Linked DNA regions of Styela clava. The protein of the gene in region 1 interacts with the protein of each later gene in a pairwise test. Links are inferred from orthologs where the notes say so. Each region holds a gene or a part of one and is shown in the gene's direction. Other genes may lie near its edges.

Region 1 (16,062 bases):
AAACTGAACTTGGCCCCAGTTATTAAAAGCAAAGACTTCGAATGAAACTACCACTTTTAAATGAATCGATTCAAGGCCACATTCCATCATTCGACTGTAAGCGAAAGTGAATTGCTTAAAGTTAATTGCAAATCAGTATATTGCATTTTTGGTACTCCCGTGGTATGTGAACCAAGATGGCGGACCCGGAACGTAGTATGCCTTTCAGGTTAGGGTTAGGCCAAATTTCAGGTACAAATACTACGGGAGTCACTTGGCTAGTTCCCGAACTCGTAATAGAACTAAAATAAGGAAAATTGAAATAGAATTATGGCCTAACCCTAACCTGGTAAACATACTACGTTCCGGTGTCCGCCATCTTGGTTCACATACTACGGAAGCGGCCAATTTTGTAACATTTACACCAACGAATATTTCCCCGAGATATCGTTATGATAGTTTACACAGACTTATAACATAAGATGGCCCAGTTTCCAATTACTTCAAAATCAAGACGGCTGCGTTCAGAACAATTTTGAAGCATACAAAATTAAGTTTAACGTAACGAACTTGCTCTTTTATGAATATTATATTTTTATATCTTTATCTGAAGTGCTAGTATCTACAAAAGTGCACTGCACTGTAGATTTCAAAATATTCAACACGAAGATATAATTTTAATATTTACATCTGACTTACAAGAATGCTTATTGTGGACAAACTTGCCCACTTTGGAGCATAGCGCATTTTTTTTGAAAACCAAAAATCTCAAGGCGAAATGAATAAAATAATAATTGTAAGTTTTCACAGGTCTCATAGCAATGGTGCATTTACATAAAGTGACTGTTGATAAGGATATTGCAGTTAGAGGAGAAGCATTAAAAAAGGCAATGGAAAAAGACAAAGATGATGGAAGAATACCATTTTATGTGAGTTTTAAATATTATTACTCACAGAAATATTGAATAAATTTTTCAGTCGAACATGCTTTATCACAATCTAGAGATATATTCTGAAAATTGACTAAAATACACCTATTATTTATGGACAAATACGTTCACAATCAGTAAAATTGACCGCGACAAAGAGTGAGAAATGCTGTTGTACGCTCATAATAAATTAATGCAAATTGAATCTCGAACTGAAATATACGCAATTCGCATGGTTATATTTGTAGTGAATGAAATATGTTTTAAAACCGTCTTCTTTTTAACTCAGGTTTGTGCAACCCTTGGTACAACGGCCTGTTGTTCATTTGACAATCTTCAAGAAATCGGAGAAGTTTGTAAGTTGATGGCGGTAATTTGAGTATGACAATTTAAAATGTCAATGAATCACTTTTTTTATAATTGCTATGCACTTTTGTGAGCAACCTAAAATTTTAACGAAAAAGATCAGAGGAACCGATTTCAATTTCTTACATTCAGGTAACAAAGAGGATGTATGGCTTCATGTTGATGCAGCATACGCCGGATGCAGTTTCATTTGTCCCGAATTTCGACATCGAATGAAAGGAATTGAGGTGGGAATACATAATACACTGAATTTACTTAGCATGAATAACCAGATTTATTAACTCGGACTCAAAATATTAGTGACAATAAACAAGATCAAAATATTTTTTTGACTGTTGGAGCAATTGTTTCACCCCTTCAATAGATAAAAATGGAAATGTCCGTTAAAAAGCCATTTTACATCGTTTCATATTTTCTCATAATTTAGCACTAAATTTTAACTTCAAATTGGCTTTATTTTTTAACATTCCACTACTACGTTTCTCCTACATTCCTTCCGCCTCCCCTTTCGATTGCGACGAGTGAATGTTTAAAAACGGCATATTTGATTCGTACGTCGTATTTCTAAATTACGTATGTTGCCCTTTCTAAAACATTCTATTATGAAATCAATACTATAACATGCCAATTGCTTTCGGTCAGATGGTTACCTCTTACAATTTCAATCCACACAAATGGCTGATGGTGAATTTCGACTTCTCACCACTTTGGTAAGTTTATATTATGAAAAACTGTGGCCGATCGGTTTCTATATTTGTATAGTGCTGGAAAATTATTCTTTAAGGCCGATAAGGCTGTTTAATTTCAGTAATATTGTATAAATTTAAATAAATTCCGTCAAGCCCAACGAGGATCATCATTGGTAGCGGGTGTCTTTACTTTTGCTTGTATACGAATCCACTAGCGCAAAACCATAGAAGGACTATAATGAGTTCGTCCCTTAGAAGCCTAATGGATATACAAATCCTAAATCTTTTTTGTTTCGGGAACCAACAATTTCTATGTTGAGCAAGTTGTTGGTCTTATATATAGTTGGAATGTTTGGGCGATTTAGATTTTTCTAACTTGATGTAATAATTAGCAAAGTCAGCAAGTAATATAATTTTATTTATTGCGAAATGGTAGTTGACTATGAGCAAATGCGTGTGCCAACTGCCAATGTAAAATCTTATATATTATGCTATTGTTGAACACACAAGGGTAACTATATGAGTATAACGAGGGTAAATATTCCCTAAAATCGATGTTGTCTCAAAATGTCGAATTCCATGTGTTGAACTTGTCCTACGTGGCCCGCACTTGTCTTTTTTGTGTGACTTGTGTGTGGTGTATGACTGACTGGTGGAACAAATGATACAAGGGGGGCATGTGAGACACGTGGGGAACGAGTGACAAATGATACGACTGAGACAAGCGTCAAACAGGTGGGGCATGCGGAAAAAGTGAGATTCAACATTTTTGAGATACTCAAAAAACGTACAATAAAGAGGTTTTACGTTTATTTTCCAATGAATTCAATAACTGTTTAACACGTATTTCAGGGTCAAAAATAGTTTGGATTTAATCAATTCATTCAAACTCAATCCATTATATTTACGCCACGACGAGGAAAACGTTGCAATTGACTACAGGGTAAGCTGCTTAACTTAATTTGTTAACAAATCAATTTCACAATGAATGTAAACCAATCAAAGAAATATTGAATACATTTATCTATCTCGGGGTCGAATATATATATATACTAACACATTTTTGTATTGTTTACATATATCAATTTTTCTGTATATAAATGGCTTGACTGTGCAATTTTTATCAGATATAGATGTACATCATACTAAAAATCCAACTTATTTAGCACAACCGAAAAGTTCTTGACTCTTTCAAATTACCCCCTAGTTTACAGATGAAACACATGTACAGGTTCATATGCTTTCACGTACAAATTTGGTGGTATGTACACCAAGATGGCGGACAACCTGAAACCTACCTAACCTGGTACACATACTATGTTCAGGCTGTGCGCCATCTTGGTGTACATACTGCGGGAGCTTCGAAATTCGTGGCAAATGTTGCAAAAAAACTTTTGCGTTAAATTCACGGATATGACTATCACAAAGTTTTGTTTCTTCCAGCATTGTCAAATTCCTCTAGGCAGAAAATTTCGTGCATTGAAACTTTGGTTTGTTTTTCGACTTATCGGTATCGAAGGACTGAGACATAAAATCAGAGAAGACGTAGCGTTGGCGAAAATGTTTGAATCTTATGTGTTAGAAGACAAAAGATTTGAAATTGTATTTTCCGTTGAACTTGGACTGGTTTGTTTTCGACTCAAACTATACAAAAATGACAGAAAGGTATCTCGATAATTCATTATGATTAGGAAGGGAGATTGTCGTATGTGAGAATGTGATTTGTTGATACCATTTTTCACAAGAGATAATAATTATTTCGAATAGTACAAATCACATTGGAAAATGTTTGTGGAGTTATGTATGCTTTGTTTCTGGCTTGTAATGAATCTAGAGCAAATATAAAGTTTGTATGTGTGGAAGAGGCCATACGTTGTTCTGAATTGTATGAGGCGTAATAGCGTTTTGATTTACCTTGCGCAGATGCTATAGGTAAATATATTTACAATTGAAAAAGTAGTAAACTTTGCTATATTTTTGATTAACAGAAAAACAGAGATATCAACGATCGTCTTTTGAGACAGATAAACGATTCCAGAGAAATTCATTTCATATCGTCGGAAGTTGAAGGAATCTATTTTCTTCGTGTGTCAGTGGGAGTTATAGCATGTGACGAGAATGCGGTGAAGAATTGCTGGGAAGTAATAAAAAGACATACTAATTCACTATTCGATCAAATAGATCCCAGTAATAACTAAGTAAAATAAAAGATTGAAGTTACTGATAATTACTTCAAAATTTGGGACCATCAATAAAGGAAAAAATAAACATAAGATACAGTGACAAAAATACAATCTAGCCCTATACTCAAAACGTATCAGTACTATTCCATCATTCGACATACGCTAGGCAGACCGCTAAAATTGATTTAGGTCACGAATGCAGTGCGAGACGACGTACATTCAAAATATGTGAAAACTAATTTAAAGTGTAATATGTATTGTATTTAAAAAGAAATTATAGGGTAATATTTCAAGGTTAACTCTCAATATATATATACATATATTCAAAATTTAGAATTCTTTCATATACAATTACTGCAATGATACATTAACTTTATTTTTCATTCACCAATATAATGAAAATATATATGCTATATAAAAATGTTCCCATCTGAGTGTCCTTACCCCAGTAGGCTACTATTTAAGGTACTTTAGCGGAGCAAATCATATCTGAACTCTTTCAGAGATCAATAAAAACACAATAGATTGTATATTCTAGAAGGTTGGACAATCGAATAAATCCAAATAACAGATAACAAAATAAGCTTGAAACGTTAACGCAAGTATATGTGATGAAACCAAACTTGTAACTAACTAAAAACCATAAAACAAAGACAAGCAACACTCGAGCGAGGGAAAATACGTAATCAACTTTTGCGCATAAAATGTTGCACAAATATATCATAAAGATATTGAATTGGGGAAACGACCTTGATTCAGGCAAATAACATGCACTGTTAACAATAGATGATGAAAGGTATTGAAATACACAGCAGGCCTAACTTTCTTTATTTACTCGCTACGAAGGATTTGCAAATTTAAAAAAGTGGTATATATATATTTAAAAATTTCATTTTAAGTATTACAACTAAGCGACTGTATTTGTAAAGTGGTATTCAATCATCCATGAAGAAGTTTTAATGAAACTAATGACTAAAACTAAAATTGACATAAGTGAAACATCAATGCTTTGTGCTTTGTAGCAGTAAAACAGCTCCGATTGTGATTGTGCTAGAAAAATTGTTATTCGCATTTAATCCTATAAATTAATAATTTAATAATAATCAAATTGAAAAAATAAATATATTCTAACGCATCATAAAAAAGCTATATATATATTCTATATATATGTAATTCATTCGTGTAAATATTTTTCCATCATATTGCTTAAATGCTCTCTTATAAGTATTCAGTTTGCCAAAAATCCGTTTTTTTGTTTATTGAAGCTTTCATTTCAAGAAGGCTCTTATTAGCAGTCATTGATATGCAAGAAGCAGGTTAGGAAGTATTTTTGGTGAGACCGAAAACCTTTGTCTATATGATGACGGGGGGTTGAAATCCTGTAAATGAAGGAGATGAAAACATATCTCTAATCCTGGAAACGACTTAGGATGGGAAATCGACGACACCAATGCACAAATTGGTACGAAATGTACAGGTTAGGCCTAAAAAACACAAAACCAAAAGTGTGAAACGAGACATTGACAGGGTCGAAACAGTTAGGCCTACTCACATATTTGGAGCAGTAGGTCTTGACATCTGAATGCTACTTTGAGAAAAACGAGACATATTGGCTCAAAACCTTGATGGGCAACACGGGGTTCCATGCTTTGTGGAAAACTAAATAAAACCACTGGGGAAGTGGGGATTCATGATTGCGAATACGCGACGATGCACTGGTTTTTCATCTCGTAGTGAATAACACCAGTACCCATGGCATCCAATACAAGTTCACTACGTGCTATCGACTTGAATATAAATCTCCCCATGACACCCTCGCTGTACAACCAGTCTTGATCGTTAGTGCTTAAATATATATATATATATATATTTGTAACAGAAAATCACCCTTTTACTATACAGCCTATATACTGTAATAGCCTACTAAAATATCGCAGCACGCAGGTGTCATACAAGGAATGCTTGCTTGAAAGCGTGTAAATCACCAAAAGAAAACAGTGTGTAACGGCATAATTTCTTCACATTTTAACATATAAATAAGACAAAGTGGTTAAATATCATTAAAATCCGTAGTAACCACTGTGCACTCGCTACAGTGCAATTGATTTCGCTGTGAATATTGTTGCACTAAAGGAAAAATTCCAATATCATCTGGAAGCATTGAATCTAGTAATTTAAAACGAGAATAAGTTAATTTTCTGAAATGATATTTGGAAGGGAAAAATAACAATGGATAAAACGGCTAATTTTTACATTCATGATTAGTAAACTAACAGTCTTGGGTACCACTTTGTTATGATATCCCAGCGTCGAAAACTACTTTGGTATGTGATCTCACGTGCTTTGCGTGATCTCAATCGCATACCATAGTGGCACTAACTATGGTGCCACTTCAGTATATGGGGTTGGCTTAATACTAAAATGACTGAGATCACACGTAATATACAAAGGAAGGATATGACGTTGCTTGTCGAAGTGTTTGGTAAACTCCAGTGGGTGGATGTAACTAACTTCATGCGTAATTCCGAATTCCGTTCAATTTAGATTTACCAACATTACGACAGCTGTAAAGTGTGCTGGGCCACCTTGTTGAGATATAATGTAAAGAACACATATTATAGTCGATTGGTTGAGTTTTTAGTTAAGTTGGGTTTATCGATTATGGTTTTATCGATTGTTTAGTACGGGCGACAGATGTTTCTGCGATAAAACCTAAGGAAAACGTATTGAATTCGTAAATATTAACGTTAACGTCAAAGAATAAAGTAAATACGGTGTTCCTCACGTGGTTATATTATATCCCGCTACTAACTGCGAAGTTGTCAATTGAATGGTCCAAATTTTTAATTGAAGTAGATTGCATTGACTGGAGTTAAAACTTTTCAAATGACCAAACGTAGCTCTTCTCATACTTGATCACAAATAGATATTTGCTACAGGAACTTGTTTGGATGTTTCTTTTGTTTACTGTGTGCGCAAGAAACGGTAATACCCTTTCGTGGGTCGCATCACAATGGTGCAATGAATAACCTCGTTTTATGAAAGCGCACACACGTAGCAATTTCGCCTGAATAATATCCTATTTCCATTGAGTGTGCGCTTGGCATAAATTGCGCGTTCGACTTTTATTATTCTCTGCTCATGAAGCTTATTATTGTAACAGTAACGGTTCGCAACGTTAAATGGCTGTCAAACGTTCGCCATTTGTTATTGTGTGTGTAACGTTTTATAGTCTTAATTATTATTAATTTTATATTTGTTCTGATAATGCTGTGTATAATAATAAATACGAGTTTATTTCGAATCCATAATCAGCATAACAGACGATAAAATGGTTACCAAAAAAAAGTAAAAACTGATTACAGGATTATAGAATCAGAGGGGCAAACAATACTTTGAGTAAGGTTTTTAGCGTACAGATTTAAGTTGGAAGGTTTTGCCAAAAGAAGTGGTACCGTACCGTAACGGTACGTGTTCACTCACCGGAAAAGTCTTAAATTAATTCACACTCACAAACAGAGAGATATAAGGAAGTAATACACAAAAACCTTGAATAAATTACATGGTACAGTGGTACCGGTACTGCTGTACTGTAGTAAATTAATAAAAAACTAAATGATAAAAGTTCTTTGTCACACCATATTAATAATTTTATAATCATTGCCAAATTAAATCAGTAAATATAGATTTTGTGAACGGTAAAGAAAAATATTTATCAAAAAAGATATCAAAGCTGATTCTGTGGTTACCGGTATAGTTCAGTAGTTACATGAAGTCAAATCGAAGTTAGGTGCAGGAAGATGTGGACTAGTCACTAGACCACTTAATAGAACTTGATTCCAGAATGGTGAAACAAATCATCAGAATTGTGATACAGTGCTTCCTAAAAAAGAATACTTGAGGCAAACTGTGGCCGGTGTTCATGTTGTAAGCGAATACTTGAAAAAATGAAATCAACTTCAATCAATCAAAATGATATGATTATAATTCTGTTCAATTCATGTTGTTCAGTTGTTAAACTGCAAGCAATACAGCAATAACAGTAGTTTTCATTTAATTAAAAATTAAATGAAAAGAGTTTAGTTACCTGGAAACAATATTTGCAAAACTTCTGTTAATTCAGATGTGAGAATGAAGAGAAATGGTTTATGAGAAAACATTGGTTTGTCTGTTGATTGGCTTTTTTAGGAAATAGTTTTGTTTTTGCGTAAACACATGTTTGTGCATAAAAAAAGAACAAAAATAAATATAGATGCTCCTTGACAAGTAACAGGATGATTTTTTCTCAATGAAATTACTGTATTAATTGTGCTTTGCTTTTGGAAAGAATAAACCTTTATTAGTCAATGTTGATGCAATTCACATTATCTCACACAGATGTATATCATTTAATTTTTAAATCTGTATACTACTTGTACTTTATCAGCATGCAACTATCTGACTTTGGCAAATCAGGTTCACACCACCTTAGCTGAGATGAGGCAATTTTTGTTCTGGAATTTCTTCAGAACACAGTGAAGCAGAACACAAATAATTGCATTAATTTTCATGTCATGATTCTAAAAAAACTTCCAAAGACCCCGATTTTATTGTATCACCCTTATCCAATTTAGTAATACAGTAATATAAGTTTTCATGCTATCAAAGTGAATTCATGTACTGAGAATCTGGTATTTTGTTTGCTTTTAGCGCCGTACAGCCGTAGTGATTTTCTGATGTTATATTATTGTTTTCTGTTTCCAACATATTTTCATATATGTAATAAATAGCAAAGGAAAACGTTAAAATTAGTCATAGATGTCTCGCTAAGTAAATTAAAAGATTGGTACCAATTTACCAAACAAAAATTGAAAATACTGTATCTTTAATCCTTATATATATTTACAGTCTGTATAGGTATTTGTAAAACTCAAAATGAGTAAGAAAGCACCTTCATTTGCTAACATGTCCGGCCAGGATGAAGCACTTTACAGAATTCCGCCTTATTTCTACATCCATGTTTTGGACCAGAACACCAATGTAACAAAGTTGGAGCTTGGGCCTAAAACCTACATTCGGCAAGATAATGAAAGAGTCATATATGGACCGGAGCGTATGATTACGATTCCACCTCGTCATTATTGCACCATAGAAAATCCTGTTGTAAGAAATAAAGAAGGTGAAGTTCAGTATGACCAGTCTGGTCAGGCAAAGCTCAGCTATGCTGATAGAGAGATTCGTTTGGCTCAGGATCCCTTCCCACTTTATCCTGGTGAAATTTTAAAATCTGCTGTTTGTGCACTGCGTATTGTCCCTGCAAATTCTGCGTTGCGTATGAGAGCGGAACTTGATTTTACTGACGGTGATGTTAAGAGAGTGGCTGGTGACGAATGGTTATTTGAAGGACCAGGTACCTACATTCCACGCAAAGAGGTTCTGGTAGAGGAGACTATCAGAGCCACAGTGATTCGCAAAAATCAAGCAATAAAATTGCGTGCGAGAAAAGAAACAGTTGATCGGGATGGCACTGAGCGTGTGACTGGGGAGGAGTGGATAATTAAAAAAGTTGGAGCATATTTACCCGGAACCTATGAAGAAGTTGTCGAACTTGTGGAGGCATATGTTCTTACTGAAAAGAAAGCTTTGCATATGAAAGCGAGTCGTACCTTCACAGACTTTTTGAATGTGAAACGAAAGAATGGAGAAGAATGGTTAATTCGTATGTCGGACACGGAATCTCATATTCCAGATGTTCATGAAGAAGTCTTAGGTGTTGTTGATATAACTACTTTGAACAGTAGACAATATTGTGTGATAGTTGACCCAGTTTCAGAAGATGATGGAAAGAACCAACTTGGCAAGCGCAAACTTGTGAAAGGAGAAGCATCTTTTTTCCTTCAACCTGGTGAAAAATTAGAGAAAGGCATTCAGGATGTTTATGTGCTTGGAGAAGATCAGGGCCTTATATTACAAGCAAAAGAAGCTCATTTTGATGATAGCAATGAAATACAGCGCAAGCCAGGAGACAAGTGGATGATCCGAGGACCCACCGAATATGTTCCATCCGTTGAGGTCAATGTATTTGCTAAAAGAAGTGCAATTTCTCTCGATGAAAATGAAGGTATATACATACGTGACCTAAAAACTGGTAAAGTTCGAGCTGTTTGTGGCCGCACTTACATGTTGACCCATGATGAAGAACTTTGGGAGAAAGAGCTTCCTCCCAATGTTGAGGCACTAGTGACATCAGCTATCGATCCTTCGGCTGACAGAGGGATGTGGGAGAAAGGAAACAAAGGCCCCTCTCAATTACGTCGTGATAAAACAAGAGTAGTTTCTTATAGAGTTCCTCATAATGCTTGTGTACAAATTTATGATTACAAGGAAAAGAAAGCACGAGTGATATTCGGACCTGAGCTTGTGATGCTCAATCCTGATGAGCAATTCACGCAATTGTCGCTCTCGGGTGGAAAACCAAAACGTCCGAATGTCATTAGGTCGCTTGCGTTGCTTCTTGGACCAGATTTTTGTACTGATGTCATTACCATTGAAACTGCTGACCATGCACGTCTCTCATTGCAACTTGCATATAATTGGTATTTTGATACAGACAATGCCCGAAAAGACCAGAAAGATGCTGCAAAATTATTCAGTGTACCTGATTTTGTGGGAGATTGTTGCAAGGCAATTGCATCTCGTGTAAGAGGGGCTGTTGCTTCTGTCACTTTCGATGATTTTCATAAGAATTCATCTCGTATCATTAGGTCTTCTGTATTTGGCGTAGATGAAAAAGGAAAAGTTCGTGACAAGTTCGTTTTCCCACAAAATGGGCTGACTATAACTTCTATCGATATCCAGTCCGTTGAACCTGTGGACCAAAGAACCCGAGATGCTCTGGTGAAATCTGTTCAACTTGCTATTGAAATCACAACAAACTCCCAGGAAGCGACTGCACGTCATGAAGCAGAAAGGGCAGAGCAGGAAGCAAGAGGCAGACTTGAACGTCAAAAGATTACTGATGAAGCAGAGGCTGAACGGTCCAGAAGAGATCTTCTGGAACTTCAATCATTGAGTGCTGCAATTGAAAGCACAGGGCAAGCTAAGGCAGAAGCACAATCAAGAGCAGAAGCTGCTCGAATTGAAGGTCAAGCTGCTGTAGACCAAGCAAAACTCAAAGCAGAGGCAGCACGAATCGATTCAACATCTGAGTTAGAGCGCTTGACCGCAGCCCGTGATGCAGAACTGAAATATTCTCGTGAGCAGGACGAATTGGAAGTAAAGAAACAGAAGCAGTTAGGTGATATCGAGACAGAAAAATTCAAAAATATGGTTGAAACCATCGGACCGGATACTATTTGCAAAATTGCTTCTGCCGGACCAGATATGCAAGTGAAAATGCTGAAGGCCCTCGGTTTAACATCAACTCTGATAACCGATGGAAATTCTCCAATAAATCTTTTCAACACTGCTCATGGTTTGATTGGCAGTCAAGGTTTTCAGTCTTCTGCTGTTGTGAGAACACGACAAGATGAAGATGATGACGAGTGATTTCCAATACAGTTGAATAGTAGTTGTCAAATATTACTGTAGCTTCAAACACATAATCTCTCCCATGTATGACGTATCAACAATTTTAATCAACAGTGCACTATTAAATAAGATGTTACTTTGTTCATTTTTAGTTTCTTATTTCGATCATGTAACGGTGACCTATCTATCTTAACCCTTTCCACAATGTATATTTTCTATGCACGACACGACAGGCAAAGCACAGCTTGAATGTGCCCATCTAGATTAGAACCTGTTTTCAACTTAATTTGTATACAAGTTCTATTATACTAGTTACTCTTTAGCACATTTATTCTCAACCGATATAGGTTATGTTGTAGATAATAAATATTCAAGTGTGTTTATTGTATTGTGCTTGTCCAAAGTTAAACATAATTATCTCACTGAAAAAAATTCGGAAGTGACATAGCTCGAAATACCAATAGTATCATCATGAGTTACTTTTAACTGATGAAAATCTGTTGGAATTTTTATTTCATATACTGATAAAAATTAAAATGTCTAGTCCAGATTGTAGAGAGTGTTATCAGAAGGTGAACTTATTATATTGCAACTTTAATGAGATGCAGGTCGGACGTTCATTTCTATTCAATTATCATGTGATTGATCGCCAGATAACATAAGATGATGAAGCAAGGTCGATGCGGGTTGATGTCTACATTCCAACATATACCCCTGAAGAGGATGGGCATTTCGAATCGACTTGAACAAAAATTTCGAATTGGCGCTATCCAGTTTTTGTCGCCCGTCAGTGGTATAGAATCTAAATTTTAGATGAACCCCCCCCCCCCCCCCCCCATTTTTTTTATTGAAGCCACTTCTGACAGGTGACTCTTTCTCGTGAGGTATTGATGAAATGTGTTTCCTATTGTGTTTGAACACCCAGGGAACTGTCTGAGTACGTTTTCGGTAAGTTAGTGATCCCATCGAAATAAAAGAAATCGCATACAAATGATACAATTGCATAACTTCAGTATTTGAAAATATTCGAATGAATGGTGAGGTATTTGAAAATGACAAGCCCCACTTCCGACTTTTTATCTATGTCGCTGAGAATTATCAACCGTTCTCTGTTTTTGGTGAATGAGCCCCGTGGGTACAATGGTTTACGGTGCGTTCCTGACTTTATACAGGCTTGTATATTAACGGCCGCAAGTGTCTCATTTTTGCATTATCAGTTTTGAGAGTCATCATCTACGTTTCACCCGGCATCGAAGCGCAGACGTCACCACAAAACTACACAAAAACACCGACAAACGAAGCAGAAGGCACCTAAAGACAAGTGCGGTCGGCCGACGGCGCCTACATTCGATAATGATCGTTCCACGGATTCACTTGCGGAATAACCTTGCTATAAATTTTACTTCCTCTAAAAATCAAATTAAGTTTTATCGTATTCTCGGCACGCAAAGAAAATACACTTTTGGCATTTCAGGGCAAAAGGTGGCGCGAGAAACCAAAACTGGTTTACAAGCAGCGACATCTATGATTAAGTCCAACAGTAATTAATACATAAAGGATAAAAAGTCAAACATTACATCATGAAAAGAAGCAAAAAGTTTACAGCAAAGTTTGGTACCGGTAGTACCGCAACAGGCGGTGTGTGTACAAAGAGCAGGGACGCAGATTACCGCTTACTGAGAATTCCTCATTCAAGGGAATTAATTAAACAATCACGAATGTGGTTCAACGGGTTACTCTGACCTTTCGGCCAAGGTTAGACACTAGCTCCTTCACTTCGCAGTAGTTCACCTTCCGCTGATCCAAGAATTCACGAATTTCGCCCTAACTGATGCATGTCGAGGGATTTTCAAATCTTCGAATTATTTCAACCTATGTGCCTAGTGGCCCTGATGCCTGAGTGAAAAGAAGTTGGCTGCGATTGATTTGTCAATGAACTTCTTGCCGTATATGTAGATATTAGCAGTTTGGGTCGAAGAGGCGTGAGTTGCGTAAGCTGACCAAAAGATCATGTTTTGACCGAAAATCAGCTCCTATTATTGGTTGAGGAACACGTGCTATATGGAAATTGCAGAAATTTTCGATAGTGTTATCTAATACGAGATTTAGAGCTTGTTGATAATACCATGGTTGGCGGCATACAACTTGGCCTGGAGCTGACTTTGATGACCGTCTGGTCGTATCTTTACCTCCTGTCTATACCAAACTAATTTAATACTTGTTGTTATTTTTTTTATAACGATGGCTGTTATTTTATTTTGGTTGACGAAAAAATAAATCTCTCTGATCGGAGTCGGTTGTAACATTTCGAATGTGTCGAAACCTAGGAAACTGTTGCTAATATAAAAGTCTAAAATCAGCCATTCGTCAGTAATAAAATCTTTAGGAACCTTGATTTGCGGCTTCTTCGACACTTAAGGTATAATAATAGTTGAAGTGGATCTTGATCACGTAGGTATCTCTAACTCTCTGTAGGGGCGTGGTATTGTGTTTTCATGACTCGGCGCGTGCCGAGACTGCGGTTCCTTGACTGTAAGCTTCCAAGTCTCTATTTAAAACGTGTAAAATTTTGGCTGTGCATTGTATTCATCAAATAAAGCGGCAATTATAAAACAATATAAAAATAGCGATGAAACAGTGAGATGACTTAACCCAGTTTGAGGCAGTAGTTTGTTACAGTTGAGATGCGTGTCGCGAGATATACACCAATCAAGTATCGAGTATCAATCAGGAATACGTACCAAAATCGAAACGCGTCAACACGCCACTCGGCCTATCAACGGTCGACGCGACCCGGGCCTAGATGTCGCTATACATCTACCTATCTTAATCATTGAGACGAGCATATCACTCTAGGCAGAATCAATCAGATAGCTGCGGTCGGCCGACGCGGCTTTCGTATGCGGCCTAGCCCATCGCCTGCGCTGACCGCAATATCCACGCATTTGCCAGGCGATGCTGAGCAGAGCGCCATGCGTTTCGTCTACAAGAGCCCTGTCGACCTCCTGCAGTGGTGCCTAAAACCCGGGCATAACTATGCGAGGGGCATAATTCTGCTAGGGCTAGGCCGACTAGCGCTCGGGCCAGGCTCTCGTTCAGCGCAACCTACATAGTCCAGCCAACGGCTCGCTCATTGTACGCGCGTACGGCGTGCGTTTGTACTCGCATCGCGTTTACGACGACTTAGGCCGCGAGACGAGGCCGTTAACTTTCCGTTTCGTAGCGCACATAAAAGAACTACTTGGAAATAATTTTAAAATGTTTCGTAGAAATTTAGTAATAAATAATACCTTGTTCCAATTTCCAAAAGTTGCCCGTTTTACGAAAAAGACGCTTTTACTACAAGAAATATTTGCCACCATCTGTCCTGTATTCTCCGTGTTTCCGGCAACATTGGTCAATGATCGCAGACTTCTGCGTGGCGTAACAATTAAAATTTTATGAGCTGGTGGCGGTCCGATGAATCTCAGTTTGAACTGCTCGCTCTTGTGTTGAATAGCCTTTCCATCGTCTTATTTAGTTATTATCAGTTAAGTTATGCTAAGACGGTGTTAAAAAGTATAAGTAAGCTAATAAACACCTGTAAATTCTTACCATGGATAGCAATTTAAGTTGAACACTAGCTCATATAACGTTGTTAAATAGAAACGGTGCGGTAACTTTAAAAAAGGCTAGACCTAGAAAGATATGCCACAAACAACGATATGGGATTTTCATGCTCGTGAATAATGAATATGAATAATCCAATCACGATTCTCAAGTATTCAGCAGACTTATACCGTAGTAGTATATATTTACGCTTATACTAATGTATAGGCTAGACTACAAAATATTTAATTCAGAAAACAATGATCGTTTTTGTAATGCACGTTTGTGAGGAAGAGGAGAAAGGAACCAATTTTACTGATGTCAGTTGGTCCAAATTAGTAGAGACGACAAGAACCTGGGCAGCAATGATAAGTCATGTAGGAGTTATGTAGTCTAGTATGCAAACACTGCAGAATTGTAGTACATTAGATAAAATACATTATGTATAAGAAGTATTGGTTCCATTATCTTTGAACCCACTTATATTTGCACCCGTACATTTGAACAAATGATTTGCACCCAGGACAATTTCATCTGCATACTTACATTTGCACCCGAACATTTGAACCTGTAATTTGCACCCAGGACAATTTCACTTGCATACTGCATACGAACATTTGAACTCATAAACAATTGCACCCATACATTTGCACCTGCAGATTTTTGCTTCACCCATGAACATTTGCACCCATGGATATTTGTACCCAAAAACATTTGCACTTACGGACATTTGAACCCATGTACATTTGCACCCGGTACATTTGAACCCGCGGACATTTGCACCATTGGACATATGCACTCGCACACATTTGAACCAGC
Region 2 (15,719 bases), on another chromosome or scaffold:
CAACAAGGAAAATAAAGAAAAACTTAAAGAGAATGCGAATTTGGCAAATGTAAAACTAAAAACCAACAATACGCACAAAATATTTCTAACAAATACAATTTTAAAAGCTTATATACAAATTAAAAAGAGGGAAAATTCCTTACCAAGACTTTTATTTATATAACACTATATTTCAACACAGATATATAAACTCTTTTTTAATGCATCAAAACAAACTGCTCAAATATTTATTTTAATTTTTAAAATTTGGCATTAAAATGCTTGGAAAACGTAGGAAAATTGGCGACGAGGTTGGAACATTCCGAAGTGGTTAGGCAGACCTGTGTTAATTAAGGTCATAGAGTTCAACTTTATTCACTAGCGTTCTTCCGCGTTGTCTCATCATCATCATACAGGGTGAACCCAAAACACGGAACCCATTCATTCCCTAATCATTTCTAAATGAAGAAATTTCATTCAAGCTTTGTCCTGAAATGGTCTTTTAAGAACTAAGATCTCAAAAAATTATCTTATATATATATTTCAATAAGTACAGCAGAATTATGTTTATGAGCTCTTATAAATTTGAGCTCTCCCAGCCTCCAAGTTAATAAGTATTACTAGTAGTGCTTGTGAAAAACTAAGACAATTGATGTAAAACTAATGCACCAAGGCCAAATTCGAAATAAACGTCTTTCGTTATTATTTAATACCACTGTAAACGTGAACGACGAGATACAGGTTAAAAAACATGAACTTCCTCAGACATTGGACATTACATAAAATCGTTAAACGCGAGTGCAGTTCTTAGTAAATACACAATCTTTGTCACACGTTCCGATTCCGTGTATATTTTAGTTTTGGCATCGATAATCTAAGTCAGGGGTCGGCAACCTGCGGGCCGGATCCGGCCCACGGAATGATATAATCCGGCCCGCGACGCTCCACTGAATTATAGTAACAAAACAGTTGTTTTGACGATTATATTCTTCACGTAACAGAATTTGCTGTGAGACACGAATAGACCAAATTATATTAGAATCTAAAAAGTATAAAGTTTACAATTACGAGTTTAATGGGCTTAAAATTTACTTAATTATAATTAGACAAATGGCAACAAAACGCAGAAAAGTTGATGCTAAGTGCAAAGTGTTTAATGTCGCCGGAAATATTCGAATGAAATTTATTGAAATGCAATGAGGAAATGAATGTATATTCTATTCGAGAGATGTATCACTGCTATCAGTTTTATTATATAAAGTATCATCCGTTCGGTTTTGAACTTTCTAAAAATATGTGCGTCCCGCCAATGACTTGCAAGCCTTGATTTTGGCACGACCCCTGATCTAACTTTTGGCATTGATATCAGTGGCGTAGGAAGACTCTCGTGCCCCCCCCCCCCCCCCTCCCGCAAAAATATTTTGTGGAAATGACCCTAAAAAATCTCGGACATAATCTAAAACAACGCTTTTTTTTATTTCGTCAAAAAGCATAACATGTCACTATTAAAAGGCAATGGTAATAAAATTTGCCGTTTATCTTGGTTACTTTTATATTTTGGATACGTGCTTCCTCTTTTGCCCTTTTTCTGCGTTTCTGTGCGGCACTGAGAAGTTTTGCTTTCGACATCATTCTGACAGCCTTCGTAATTTTGCCGGTGCGATCAAACCACAAGACGCCGAAAATCGACAACTCCCTGGCATTGTTACGTAGCAAAACGATTTGAGCAGAACTAACATCAACGTTATAACATGTGCATTACTGGTTTTGCAATGCAACTTTAGGTTTTGCGGCTCACATTTCTAAATTCTAACCGCTGTGGGCCCTCCCGCGACCGCGGGGGTTGCGGGGGTGGATGCTACGCCACTGATTGATAGGTACTGTAGATCAGTGATTCCCAAAGTGGGCGATATCGCCCCCGGTGGGCGAAAACGATACAGAGGGGGGCGATTTCGCGAAACCTGTTTTAGCTCGGCGCATCGTGCACTTGATTACTGTACCCTGCGTGCTTTCGTAGGTTTGAATAACGGGGGCGTAGTCACGTGCGAAAGGATTGCTGGACTCGTCTTCGCAATAAGGTACGGTAGTTTGCGTATCCCAGTGGTCGGGAAATCTGTAGTAATCTGGCCCGGGACGCTTCACTGAATGGACCTTTCTCCGACCTTTGACCCCGGAAATTTCTTCCCATACTTTACCATTCTAAAATTTTCGGTGCTTATTTTAAGAGTGGTTTCGCGAATTGTTGCCTATAAAATACAGTTTTTGTTTCAAACTATCATTCTAGTTCATACCATTCAACAACCTGTTTTTCGAAAGTACCGGTAAAGAATTTGGGTCTCGTGTAGTTTCGTACCTAACGGACTTCTAGTGGGCATAGCATAACAATTTTTTGATATGTCAATCCTAACCCCCATCTGATTACGCCATCCAAAAATTAAATCACTACGACATCACAATCACGGCATAGAGCTTGCCAAATATACGCACGATCGACCGAAACGACATATTCAAAATCGCGGAAATGAGGTAATGTTCACGACCACGCCTGAAAGTCTGTCTGAGTGAGGAATGTGCCTGAGTGGATGCGAAAGGGGACATTGTTACGTTTATTTTTGCACCTTGCTGATTGGCCAATGTCACGAAGTAAACAAGGAAGTCTATGCCAGGGGAAACATCTAAACGGCGGTTTTAACGATGAATTCATTTTATTTATTATCTAAGTTCGAGGAGTAAATTACATTTTTTATTAAAAAAATATATCTAAAAAAAAAAAAAATAATTACATTTTTTACGTAACAGAATTTATCGTGAGACACGTTTAGACTAAATTTTAATATATCCTAAAAATTATATTGAACAGCTACTCGTTTAACGAGCCTACAATTTAATTATAATTAGACAAATGGAAACACGCAGAAAAGTTGATGCTGAGTGCAGGGGTTCAATAGCGCAGTAAATATTCGAATATATTGCAATGCAATAAGGAAAAAAAATTCATATTCTATTCGAGAAATTCATCACTGCTTGATTTTTGTAAGAATGTATCTTCTTAAAGATAATTCTTATCAAAATTTCACAAATCATGCGAAAATATTCACTTCGATGTTTGGAAGTACATATTTGTGCGAACAATTATTTTCGAAAATGAACATACAAAAACTAGGATAGGTGATGCCCATTTAGAAAATCTTCCAATCTTGGCGTCGTGATGCTATCAAGCGTGATGCAGCAACTAGACAGTGTCACATTGAATATCATTGTAATAATTTTTTAATAAGACGACTGAGTTCAGTTCACGAATTGTCGCAGTTTTCGCACGATGTTCCGTTTTTAACTTTCAAAAAATATATGCGATCCGCAAACGAATAGCAACCCTAAATTTTGTCCCGCGAGCGACGTAAAAGTTGCCGACCCCTGAGCCATCCGAGTCCACGAATCCAAAACCAACGGCTGATTAATTCTATGGACTGGAGGACGTGGTAGGATAAGGAATCGGGAATGAATTTTACCGAAGACCGTTATATATCATGTATTTTGGTAAAGGTCATCAGGCTGTAGAGTAATGTAGGTAAAGGTCAATGAGATGTACGAAAATCATTATTATACGTTTTGGAAAATTAAATTTTTTTCATTATTTTAATGTGAAATGGGGTGAATTTAGGGAGTTAAATGCAAGAGTACACGGTGGTTTTTGAGGAGGTAGAACCCTGGATTCTTCCATTCCCGATCTCTGATATGGTGAAAGAGGGGTTTTCAGCCGAGCTGCTATTGCTATCAAAACAACGAAATCGTCTTTCCATCAGTAAACGGGGTAATTTTAGATATAATAAAAAACTCGCTGAAGAACACCAAGCTCATCCATCTCATTAAAAAACACCATAAAACATGATTTGTCTTCTTATTTGGTCTGTAATATATTCGTTTCAGACTTTCAATTTTTTTTGCAGTGCCGGGGGGCGATGAAGTTGTATAAACTACTGTAGCGGGGCGATGGTACAAAAAGTTTGGGAACCACTGCTGTAGATTAAAAGCGACTTAGTGCTTATGGTGAGGCTCTACAAGAAGCCTATAACGTGTTGGGCGGTGACACTTCGCGCTATTAACTTTCTTTTATGTATAACCTGCCAGGTTTCTCGATAATTAACAACTCCACAACTTTGAATATGAACGAAATATAATGCAGTCGATAAAATACCAGTCTACATGCACAAGTACGATATAGACGAATAAATGAACGACGAAATTGTGTGATGATAAGAACAAATACAGAAATAATTCCAGTATTTTAGAGACACAAATGATCACAGTATTGTAGAATGTAGAGGTCCAAATCAAGTAATGTTGAGGTCAAATGATCATTGTTGAGACGCAACGATCAACTGTTGAGGTCGAAATGATCATTGTAGAATACGAATGATCAATTGTTGAGGGTTGCTAAAGTTTACGACCAACCCAACAGGCATGTTAACTACATACTTAATTCTTAAACAGCGAAAACAATAGCAACGTTAAATTAATTATACAATACGAATCAAAAGCAGTCATGTATCCAAAAAAACAAGCAAATAAATCCGCTCATTGCGGCAAATAAATTAGCACTACCTAAAGGCAAACTGCTAACACGAAATAAATTGTAAATGGCCGACTGGCAATGATTCGAAATAATAAACAAACAAAAACGAGAGAAAAATAAAAAGCCGATAACAGACTTTGTATACGCCGACATGTCTATTCCTGCCCACGAACAGATGGTGAAATCGCCTTGAAGGGAGTCATTTCGTGAACGGTCATTCGACAAAGTGCAATGACCAATATATCTCGAGATAACCCCGGGTCAAATATATACAAAATAAAACGAAGAAAATTTGTCTGTAACATGTACTATAGTTTGAGCGTAAATATATACTACTAACTAGCGTTATCCCGTGTTGTCTCATCATACAGGGTGACCCCAAAATACAGAACCCATACATTTCTTATCCTACTTCTACAAAAATGAAGAAAATTTATTTAATTTTGTTTACACTTGAACTGTTTGTACATGATTGTATCCCGAAATTTCAAAAATCCAGGACGCTTTGAACAGAAGATATGTTCTTTCTAGAATATCTTTCAATTCACCAATTGTTTTAGGAATGTTCTGATGCACATGTTTCTTCGAATATTCCCACAGATAAAAATCTGGGGGGTTCACATACCTCAGCGATTTTTCTAAATCACGATCTTAGATTCGTTGTTGCTGCATAGAAATTGTTCAAATAATTTAAATTGGTATATTTTGCTTCTGAAGAATACGGGGTGGAGTTTTTAGAATTTCGGTAAATTCATTTATTGATATAGGGGTATCAATTGTGGGACAAGTGATACACGTGGGTAAAATGATGTACGAATAGGACAAGCGTCGGATCAACAAGTGATAGACAAGCTGGACCAGTGTGGAACAATTGATACAATGGACACGGACATTTTTGAGACACCCCTTTGTTATATCATCGTAAGATCGATTGCTACGGTACGGCCCATAATCAAGATACATTCAACCGTAAATATATACTACTACGATTCATTATTTCTGAAGGTACCGGTATACGCCAAAGTATCTTCGTTTAGCAAAGTCAGTTATTCTTGTGAGTGATTTCTCGTGAAATTTTACTTTTAGCCAATCTGAAATTACTTATATAGTTAGTCGTATTAGTTTTTCTAAACTTTAAACCATAGGCATATGTGTAAATTGACATTGGAAAAAGTTCTTTTGAAGATGACAAGCAAAATAATTCCCATGATTTTCTGGACATAAATCTAATTTAGATCAACTGTTGCTGCTTTGATTTACCTATTTGTTGTCCGTTTTTTGTATATTTAAAGGTTTAGTTTAGAGTTTAGACGACTCTATGTTAGACAATTTTTTATTTATAAACCAAAGCGTATAAAAAAGCCCTCCGGGAGCAAATGTTTATGGGCGGCACGTGATCGTTTAAAAACGTCACAGCAGTTGAGCGATAACAATATTTATGCGAATTGACGACTTTCTCCTGCAGCGATCTGCCGTATTTTCACGTGATTTGCCGTACGGTACCGGTACCCAGACTATTTCTTTGCGATAGTTTGCTTCGCTGAAGTGGTACGTGGGTTCAAATGGTGGATTCCGCAGTGGCCAGGTTATGTTTAGCTCTACCGTGTCTTAGAACCGCGATCGCAGCAATTCGCCATTGGACTATCGTGTCAATGATTTGCGAGCGTCTGTCTGTGCTTCCGTCAGTCTGGGAAGGTCCCGACTAAAATTGTTATTGGCGTGCCGGTATTAGGGATGGGCCGGGATTCGGATCCGGACTCGGATTCGATTCGAATCCAGGCATTTTTTCAGGCGAGTCCACGTCATTTTTACTGAGTCCATAATCAATTCTGTTTTTACTAATTTACACCTATGTTTGTACTTTTGCCTCTATAAATCCCACTACATACCTCAACTAGTTAAAATTACAGGTTAGATCTGTAACAATAATAACCCTCGTTTGCATTATAAACACGCCTAATAAAATGACGACAGATATCCAGATAATATACCGGTAACGCAAGTTAAAAACTATTAATCGCTTATAACAATGATGGATGTTGCGCCAGTCGCCTTCAAACTATCTATCCTATACATGTGGTACACAATAAAATATGTGTTATTGCAATATTTGTGAGTTTTTGATTCGCGTAAAAATGAAACATGCTCTGGATCAACCTAATGTGGAATCTCATCAATACCTCTTTTAAATCGAGTTTATTGCGTGCAATCCTTTCGCTGAAAAGGCAATGGAAAGCATGGAGAGTTTTAGAACGTTTACATGAACTACTAAATTGCAAGCAAATGTACCACATTGTATTGACGACGAGTGGCATTTCTCTACTATTACGCACATGACATAGTAAATTTACGGCTAAAAATATCTGGAATTGTGGGAAAGCATTGTAGTCGAAAGCTTTTTATTTTTCATATTGACATGTAAGAATTTCTGAATAGCCGCCCAGAATTGACGCAAATCCAGTTCACAGCCAAGGCGCACATTGACCCACGTTTACGTTTGTATTATGGCCGCCAAAAAAGAGAAAAAATATATATTTTAAATGATTCAACAGCTATCTGCGGAACCATTAGGCAAAAAATATGAGCTACGACGTATGTTTGTGAGCGCTCGCTGCTGTAGCATGGTCAAAAACACGTTTTTCTGCTTTTCCATTATGACGTCACGGACTCGGCAGATTCGAGTCCTTGACCTATTACTCGGATTCGTCGAATCTCTGTAATGCCGGACTCGTCCCATCCCTAGCCGGTATGATCAATGATACCAAACTGCAGAACTAACAAACAAATTATCTAGAATAGACTATAACCAGTCTTACTACTTACTGAATACAGCACGAAACACCGCAAAGAGCGCAAAACAGAGGGAAACAGCGCAAAACAGTGAGAAAACAGCGCGAAAGAGCGCAAAACAGAGGGAAACAGTGTGAAGCAGAAAAAAATTTTGCAATGAGTTCGGGGCACCTTGTTTTGAGTTGGAGTACCACGGCAACAAATTAAAAACACAAACCAACGTATGTAGCCAGAAATGCTGTAATGGCAGGTCTGCCCCTGCTGGTGACACATTTTGGGTACCATAATTTAGAACATTTTCCATATGTATATGGTTGGCTTTAGGGTTAGGGTTAGATAAAAAGGGACCTCCAGAAGTATGTGCACCAAGATGGCGCACAACCTGAAAATAGTATGTGTGTGTAGCGGATTCAAGTTGTGCGACATATTGCTGCACATACTTCTGGAGCACCAAAAAGGTAGATAAAATTTCGCATGATGACCTATAATCCGGTACATAACCTTGTAAATATACCGGAAATACCGCCATAAAACCATGGCGAGAGGCGCCGTAGTTCTTTCGTGGCAGGAGGTGGAAATGACTACGTCTCCTGTTTTGCGCTGTTTCCCTCTGTTTTGCGCTGGTTTCGCGCTCTTTGCGGTGTTTCGCGCTCTTTGCGGTGTTTCGCGCTGTATTCAGTAGTAAGACCCGACTATAACTACTAAACTAGGGTTGTTTAGCCAACATGAAATCACAACAAATTTGCAAACATTAACTCCAATACCATAATCATTATTTAAAATATAAGAGAAGGATGTAATAAGTTTTATACAAAATCGTAATTATCTATTGGAATATAATATATTATTATAGATATTCCCTTAACTTAAGGATGCTCAAATCTTTTGCGTTGCAGTTTTACTAGATCAGCAGATTGATGTTGTTCTGTCATGATTAGCTTTATCCTCAGCAATGTTTTGTTTGAATGGTTTTTTGAGTCGCACATTCAATGCTATGCACTAACGATCTTTGTTGCTAGAATAGACTGGCAAATCCTAAGATATAGACTAAGTGCCTACTTACGACTCTTCCATCAATTTGTTTCCATTTTTAGTTGGCATCTTCTGACTGTGTGATGTTTTTTAAACCAATTTGGGGTCTCATGTAGTTTCGTACCTAACATACTTCTAGTGGGCGTAGCATAACAATTAATTCACTTGTCAATCCTAACCCCCACCTGACTACGCCATCTAAAAATTAGACGCAATAGAGCCCTTTAAACTATACGAACTGCCATCCAAGACGCGCAGGCGAGCACCCGAAATCGAACAGCTATTTCTCTCGTTTTCCCATTGCAATGATCCCAATAGGAGAGAGATCGATGACGTTAGTCAGTTCTTTATCGTCGGGGCCGATGCCATTTCGGACGATCGTACGTATATTCGACGTGATTGTAATATCGTAGTGACGTCATTTTTGGATGACATAGTCAGATGGGGGTTAGAATTGCCATCAAAAATTGTTATGCTACGCCCACTAGGAGTAGGTTAGGTACGAAACTACACGAGACCCCCAATCTGCATAAATTCTCCAAATTTCACTAAAGCCCTTTTTAGTAAAGTTCCCCTAGTGTCACAAAAGTTTTGCTTTATTAAACAGGATTTTTAATAAATTTTTCGTTTTTTCTGAGCAAGAGCTCCTCTAATATTGTATCGTACAATAAACTAAACTGCATGGCTCAGCAAGGATATTATCCTGGACAACCACAAGGTGGAGCACCTTATCCACCACCACAGCAGGGAGGCTATCCACCTCCTCAAGGTTATGCACAACCTGGATATGGACCACCTCAACCAGGCTTTGTACCCCCTCAGCAAGGCTACGCACCCCCACAGCAAGGTTATGCCCCGCAGCAGCATCCAGGTGGTGCTCCTCCGGGTGGTCAATGGATGCAAGCACCCACTGGAGTACCAGGATGCCCGCCCGGATTGGAATACTTAACTCAAGTTGATCAAATATTAGTTCATCAGCAAGTTGAATTGTTGGAAGCTTTCACAGGTTTGTATTAAAGATTACATTATATTTCAATAAAAGATATGTTTGTTCATTTATTCATATGATAATTTTTAGATTTATTTATTTTGAATGAACAACAAATTGATTTATTTTTGACTCATCAATGTAAAATAAAAGCGTGAAAAATTTTATCCCAGGTAATTGAAGCTTAATATTTGGTATGATGTTTTACATATATTTGCTAAATTATACCCTCGGATTAGTATTTTTATATATCAATTCATCTACATTGATCAACTGCCTATATAATTTCATCACAATATAATGTTACAGTTGTACCTTCACCCTCATTTAAATGTTAATCTATTGTGATTTGTGGTATAATTTTAAATAATACCTTCAAGTTGCTGCAGTATTGTTCTTCTTTGTTAGGACATATTGTTTTATATTTTGTCGATTTGATAATCAAATTTTGGCAAAACTTACAAGCTATGACAAATTTCATATATAGTATTCATTATTTTAAAAAGATACATGATGAAATATTAACATTGCTCAGCGTTTTGAAAACTTTTGAATCGACTTATTTGTCTTTTTCATGTTGTATTGTATTCCCAATTATTTTTCCTAGTTCTTATTAATTTGGTAAACATAATGCAATTCTGACTATTGAATTACCAGTACTTTCACTTCATCCTGCCTCGAATGTGATAAAAACTTTTTCTATACACACTCTCAAATCTTTCATATATAGGTATTTCATTGAAATTGCAATTGAAAGTATTAGAAAATCTCAAATCAATTGTTTCGTTTCTGGTTCCAAGGACAAAATCATTCATATTTTTCAAGTAAATAATTCATAACAAAATTGATGCTAATGTTATGCTAAACAGTCAGATAAGCCATTCAATATGCCTACAAAATATATTACTGCAGATTGTACAGAAACAATGTGCGATTAATTTTTTGAATCATAAGAATACAGAATAAAATTGACTTTTTTAGTAACTATGTGAAAGAAATGTGACTACATTACTGTCCAATGTTGCGGTGCCGAATATACTACATGGCATGTCCATATTCCATCGTAAGTTTTTAGCTTAGCCCCTTTTTCGATACAGGATTTGAAACTGCAAACAAATATGAGATCAAAAACAGCCTTGGACAGAAAGTATACTTTGCTGCTGAGCAGAGTGATTGCTGTACAAGGCAGTGTTGTGGACCATGTAGAAATTTTGAGATGAAAATTCTTGACAACCATCAACAGGAAGTGATGCATCTTGAACGACCACTGCGCTGTGCTTCATGTTGGACGCCTTGTTGCCTTCAACAGATGACAATTACTTCACCGCCTGGTAAATATGTATATTTTTGTAATTAATTCCAGTAGACTATGGCATAAATCATGCAATGACTCAATTCCTCTCAGAAAAAATATTCAATATGACCAGAGGACAATATTTTGTAGTCTGGATATAATTACAGTCAAGCGAATAATATTCAGTATTGAATGTATCAATGTAAAACCAATTGGTTCAATCTATATAACAACATGGCAATTTATATAATAGGCTTACAAGTTTAAGTTTTGTTTCGTTTTTTTGTGTGGAAACTTACCTATTAAAACAACTTTTTTACAATAACATAGCGAATACAACTAATGAAATGAGATTCTAATCTATTATTGTTGAATAGCAACAGTGGAAACATTAATAGAAATTTTTATAACCACCACCTGGCAACTGAACTAGAACAACGAAACATTTGTATTTGCCTATTCACCTGAAGACTTGGGTGTCAATTGTCAATATTGTATTCTTATTGGGCTAATGCTCAAATGAACGCTGTGATATTAAGTAAATATTGCCATATTAACTTAACAGTTTGAAATGTCTATTGTAATTCCTACTTGTTAAGTTTTTACCGCTATTGTGATATTGGTGCAATATAATGCTGTGTGACTCATACTCATATTATCCTATTAAAAGTCGTTTAGAACTCACTTAATAACAATGCAACAGTGAGTCATAAATATAAAAGTGAATATGGATTGTTGTATTTTTATAGATCAATTCATCTACATTGATCAACTGCCTATATAATTTCATCACAATATTATTTTACAGCTGTACCTTCACCCTCATTTAAATGTTAATCTATTGTGATTTGTGGTATAATTTTAAATAATACCCTCAAGTTGCTGCAGTATTGTTCTTCTTTGTTAGGACCTATTGTTTTATATTTTGTCGATTTGATAATTAAATTTTGGCAAATCTTACAAGCTATGACAAATTTCATATATAGTATTCATTATTTTAAAAAGATACATGATGAAATATTAACATTGCTTAGCGTTTTGAAAACTTTTGAATCGACTTATTTGTCTTTTTCGTGTTGTATTGTATTCCCAAATCCCAATTATTTTTCCTAGTTCTTATTAATTTGGTAAACATAATGCAATTCTGACTGTTGAATTACCAGTACTTTCACTTCATCCTGCCTCGAATGTGATAAAAACTTTTTCTATACACAAAAAGCAGTATCATGATCATATACAGTTATTCGATTTGGGCTCTGCGTGTATGGTAGATGCCATGATATTGGTAGTAATGGTAGTGTTTCATGGTGCTGAAACTGTGCAAACATGGGCTCATCCTAACTTTTATTTTATGAGATTGGTATTGGTATAGTATCAATGTATCATACTATACCATGATATAGTTGTACTTGTCATACTGTATCATCACAACTTAAAATATTTAAATTCAAAACTGATTGGCAAAAAAGAATTTCAAACCATTTGGCGTGGACATTTTAAAATTGATATGTCTACTTCCCTATTTTATCACGTTTTTACTATAATTTGTCATGAATATTTTATGGATCTTGGAGGAAGATCTATTGTTTATTGAAGAAAAAAATGTGTTTAAAAATGATAATTACCGGTATCTTTGAGGAAATACGGATGTACCTGGCACATTATAAAAAGACTCGGATCGCAAACTGAATATCATGTCACACAGTTTCGATTTGTTTGAATGTAGTTTGAGATTGTTGTTTTGAATTCTTAGGTGATTTTTATTACTTATTCCAATGTATAAAATAATTTTATAATGCCCAAAAATTTCTGACCTTCTCCGACTCTGTGATACGAAGCACATGTTTCACTAATAAAGCAGTGTGATCAGTTATCAACGCAAAGTTATAAACATTACTTACTTAAGAAAATCAGGATACTATGTCCTTCAATAGAATATAAGATATGGTTTTATTATAAACCTAATACTATACTGGTGGAAATACATCAACTGGTGTTTTGTAATGCTACACAGTGGTTTTAGTTACACGAACACGGTGTGTTAACCATTTTTTGTATGTGACATAATATTGGCAAATCAAGTAAATGTAAAAATCCTATTACTCTAAAAACCACTGTATGTAGTGTATTGGACTGCTGGATATCAATCTGGGATTTTGTTTCGCCCGCTCATAAAAAATTTATCTTTCATTCTGTGCTGCCAGAAGTGTTTAAATAATTCAGTCCCAAAACTTCTTATTTCTTTCAATCTGATTATAAGAACTTCTGTAGCTGTTGGTATTATTTTAGCCCCAGTAGTTTTCTGCAATTCTCTGCAGTCTGATTATGATACTCTTCATGAATTATATTATTGTTACTGCTATGCTTTGTCACAAAAGTTATCTTCAATGCATGCGGTTAGAGAATATGGAGTATTAAATTGTATTTGACATTCGATATGGCAATGCAATTGTACTCCATGAAATTGATACTTGTTAGTAGTTAATTTTGATGGTTCCAATAGTTTCAACCTCTCCACTCTCCAGATTAAACAATGACATTCTCTTTTCTGACTGCTACAGTGTTCTTCTATTATTCTTTCATTTTGGACGTCAACACAGTTTTATTGTTTCTCTTCATTTCTATTGTATCACATTATCAAAAATATTTATTTCAGGCACAGTGATTGGTTCTATTGAACAGACTTGGGATATATTCCTACCGAAGTTTGATGTGAAAAATGAACAGGGTGAAACTGTATTAAAAATTGAAGGACCTTGTTTCACTTGCAATTTCTGTGGAGACGTTGAATTCAAGGTAAAATTACGCATACTTTCAGACATTCACACACTTTGAAGATGATCTGTTTACAGTTATATGCCGCTTACATCGTTCTAGTCATTGTTTGATACCAAGTTAATATTCTAGTATTAACTCGCACATTAGAAAGTTATTCACTGGCTAAATCAACTAATGTAGTTGGGGTTGATTATAATAATCCTATTATAGTTTGTGCATTTCCAATATTCGATAATAAATGTACAATGAATATGGCATATTGTAAAGCAAAAAGTTGATATGGCGTTATTTTTAGTTACCAGAAAATCAGTCTATGAAAGAACTTTAATGAATTTTAGAAGATTTTTCAATACTTGTCTGATTGTCTCAAACCTACCATCAAATTTCAAACAAGTTTCCTGACTTATGAGGGATACTAATCAGATATTAATACTTAATTAAGTGTATGTTTGAAACAATATAATCCTAATAGTAATATACCGTACTATATTTTTGTCAACTTGAAGAACTTTCTCTTTATTAGGTTCTAACAAAGGAGGGCAGTGAAATAGGAAAAATCTCAAAGCAGTGGTCTGGCCTCGTAAAAGAATATTTTACTGATGCTGACAACTTTGGAGTTCAATTTCCAATGGATCTTGATGTGAAAATGAAAGCTTGCTTACTTGGTGCAGTCTTCCTCATTGATTTCATGTTTTTTGAACAGACAAACAACCAAGACAACCAAAGAGTTGGAGTTTGGCAATAGGCAGGTAATAATCCATGATATTTGGCATCTTGAATCCTAGGTACATATCACGAATAGTTTTTTAATACAGAACTCTTTTTTTTTAATTAACAGTGTCTGTGCTAAACTTCAGTCATGAAAATCTGAAAAAAGTCGAATACATTTGTCGACAATGCTTAGTAGTGAATTTTATGTTAAGTAAGTTCAGAGTACTTTCAGATGGTTGAGTTTTTGAAAAATCTACTGGAATATTATATTGTAATATTGAAAGCAACTCGATTCAATGTGATTCTTTATACATTTATTACCCATCGTCAGAAATATGTATCATTTTTTCTGAATCTAGTATCGATAAGTCTACTAATAAAATAGCTGATTTTGAACTGAAAGAAGTTTCAGTTGTCAGAAGACAGATGCTGAAAAATACCTATATATGTGCCTCAATTTCATGTGTGTGCTTTTTCACTAAAACATATTTCAACTAAGATACAATGGTAGAATTGTTTGACACTTTTTCAAGTTTTTTGGAACGGACTTTATTGGATCACCACTCTGCTTAATTGGTTCTGTTTATTGGTATATAGCATTCTTGTGCACATATCACTGTATATATTTTTACATCAAAAAATGGTTTGCAGTATGTGTAGACTTGCAGTAAAATTTCAACTGAATATCAATTTTGGACTAGCTGTTAAATAGTAATAGGATTTTTAATAAAGATTGGAATTTGTCCTGTTACAACCTGATAATGCTATTATCTATTAGTATATTGGAATATTTGGTCCTCAGGAACTAAACCTATTATTTTGCATGTTTTCACACTTTTATTGCATTTATTAATGTTACTGTATATTATTAGCCTATTCTTACTTGTCCAACCCATATTTCACACAAAGAAGGCAGAAGATTACTACAAACAATTTTGAAATCCACTAAATGGATTATCATTGGTAGATAAGATTAATAACCGAATAACATTGATATGTTCTATGAATTATATTTTAAATGCTGTTGCTTGTTACTGTAAATTGTGTTGATAACCTATTATTACTTGTTTGATTCATATTGCCCACTGGACCCCATTACCTTCACACAAGCATGCATGATACTTACACCAAAATTGGCCATCAAATGTATATTGCAAGTAATGTAAAAATGTTTGTTTGGATATATCCATATATGTATACTTAAAATCATACCTATTATATATTGTCATGCATTTCTGGAATCCACGTAACGAATTATGGTGGGATTATGCAATTAGTAATGATTGCATTTTCCATTTGAAAACATATGTCGAAGAGAAACAACTTTGTGCTTGAAATGGGTGTTGTAATCTTCATTGATCCATTTATTTTCTAACTTGGATTGGTGGGTGGGTTGAAATGCGGTGGGTTGAAAATGGTTTATGTTGCCTATTTTGCTTGAAACGAAGATTTACCTGGTGTTGGATGGGACAAATGTTCATATTGCCGCCCTCTAAAGAAGTCAAGAACACTCAATCCATTTAAATTTATATTTCCATTCTTTATCTGTCAAAATGTAATTACCAATTTCAAAT

The links.
Region 2: the proteins of major vault protein-like (region 1) and phospholipid scramblase 2-like interact in a two-hybrid assay, tested with the Homo sapiens proteins (2 studies listed by BioGRID and IntAct). The link is inferred for Styela clava from reciprocal best matches to the Homo sapiens genes MVP and PLSCR1.

What each region holds. Positions count from the first base shown.
Region 1 is NC_135260.1:15,797,030-15,813,091, reverse strand, and holds major vault protein-like, read left to right. Parts: upstream 1-9,017; 5' UTR 9,018-9,060; coding exon 9,061-11,673; 3' UTR 11,674-12,210; downstream 12,211-16,062. Other genes in the region: aromatic-L-amino-acid decarboxylase-like, read left to right, coding at 790-908, 1,198-1,264, 1,407-1,501, 1,917-1,984, 2,816-2,906, 3,407-3,628, 3,952-4,161. UniProt on the Homo sapiens protein: Required for normal vault structure. Vaults are multi-subunit structures that may act as scaffolds for proteins involved in signal transduction. Vaults may also play a role in nucleo-cytoplasmic transport.
Region 2 is NC_135257.1:8,200,468-8,216,186, forward strand, and holds the start of phospholipid scramblase 2-like, read left to right. Parts: upstream 1-8,975; 5' UTR 8,976-9,055; coding exon 9,056-9,380; intron 9,381-10,459; coding exon 10,460-10,693; intron 10,694-13,312; coding exon 13,313-13,452; intron 13,453-13,957; coding exon 13,958-14,179; 3' UTR 14,180-14,183; intron 14,184-14,272; 3' UTR 14,273-15,719. UniProt on the Homo sapiens protein: Catalyzes calcium-induced ATP-independent rapid bidirectional and non-specific movement of phospholipids (lipid scrambling or lipid flip-flop) between the inner and outer leaflet of the plasma membrane resulting in collapse of the phospholipid asymmetry which leads to phosphatidylserine externalization on the cell surface.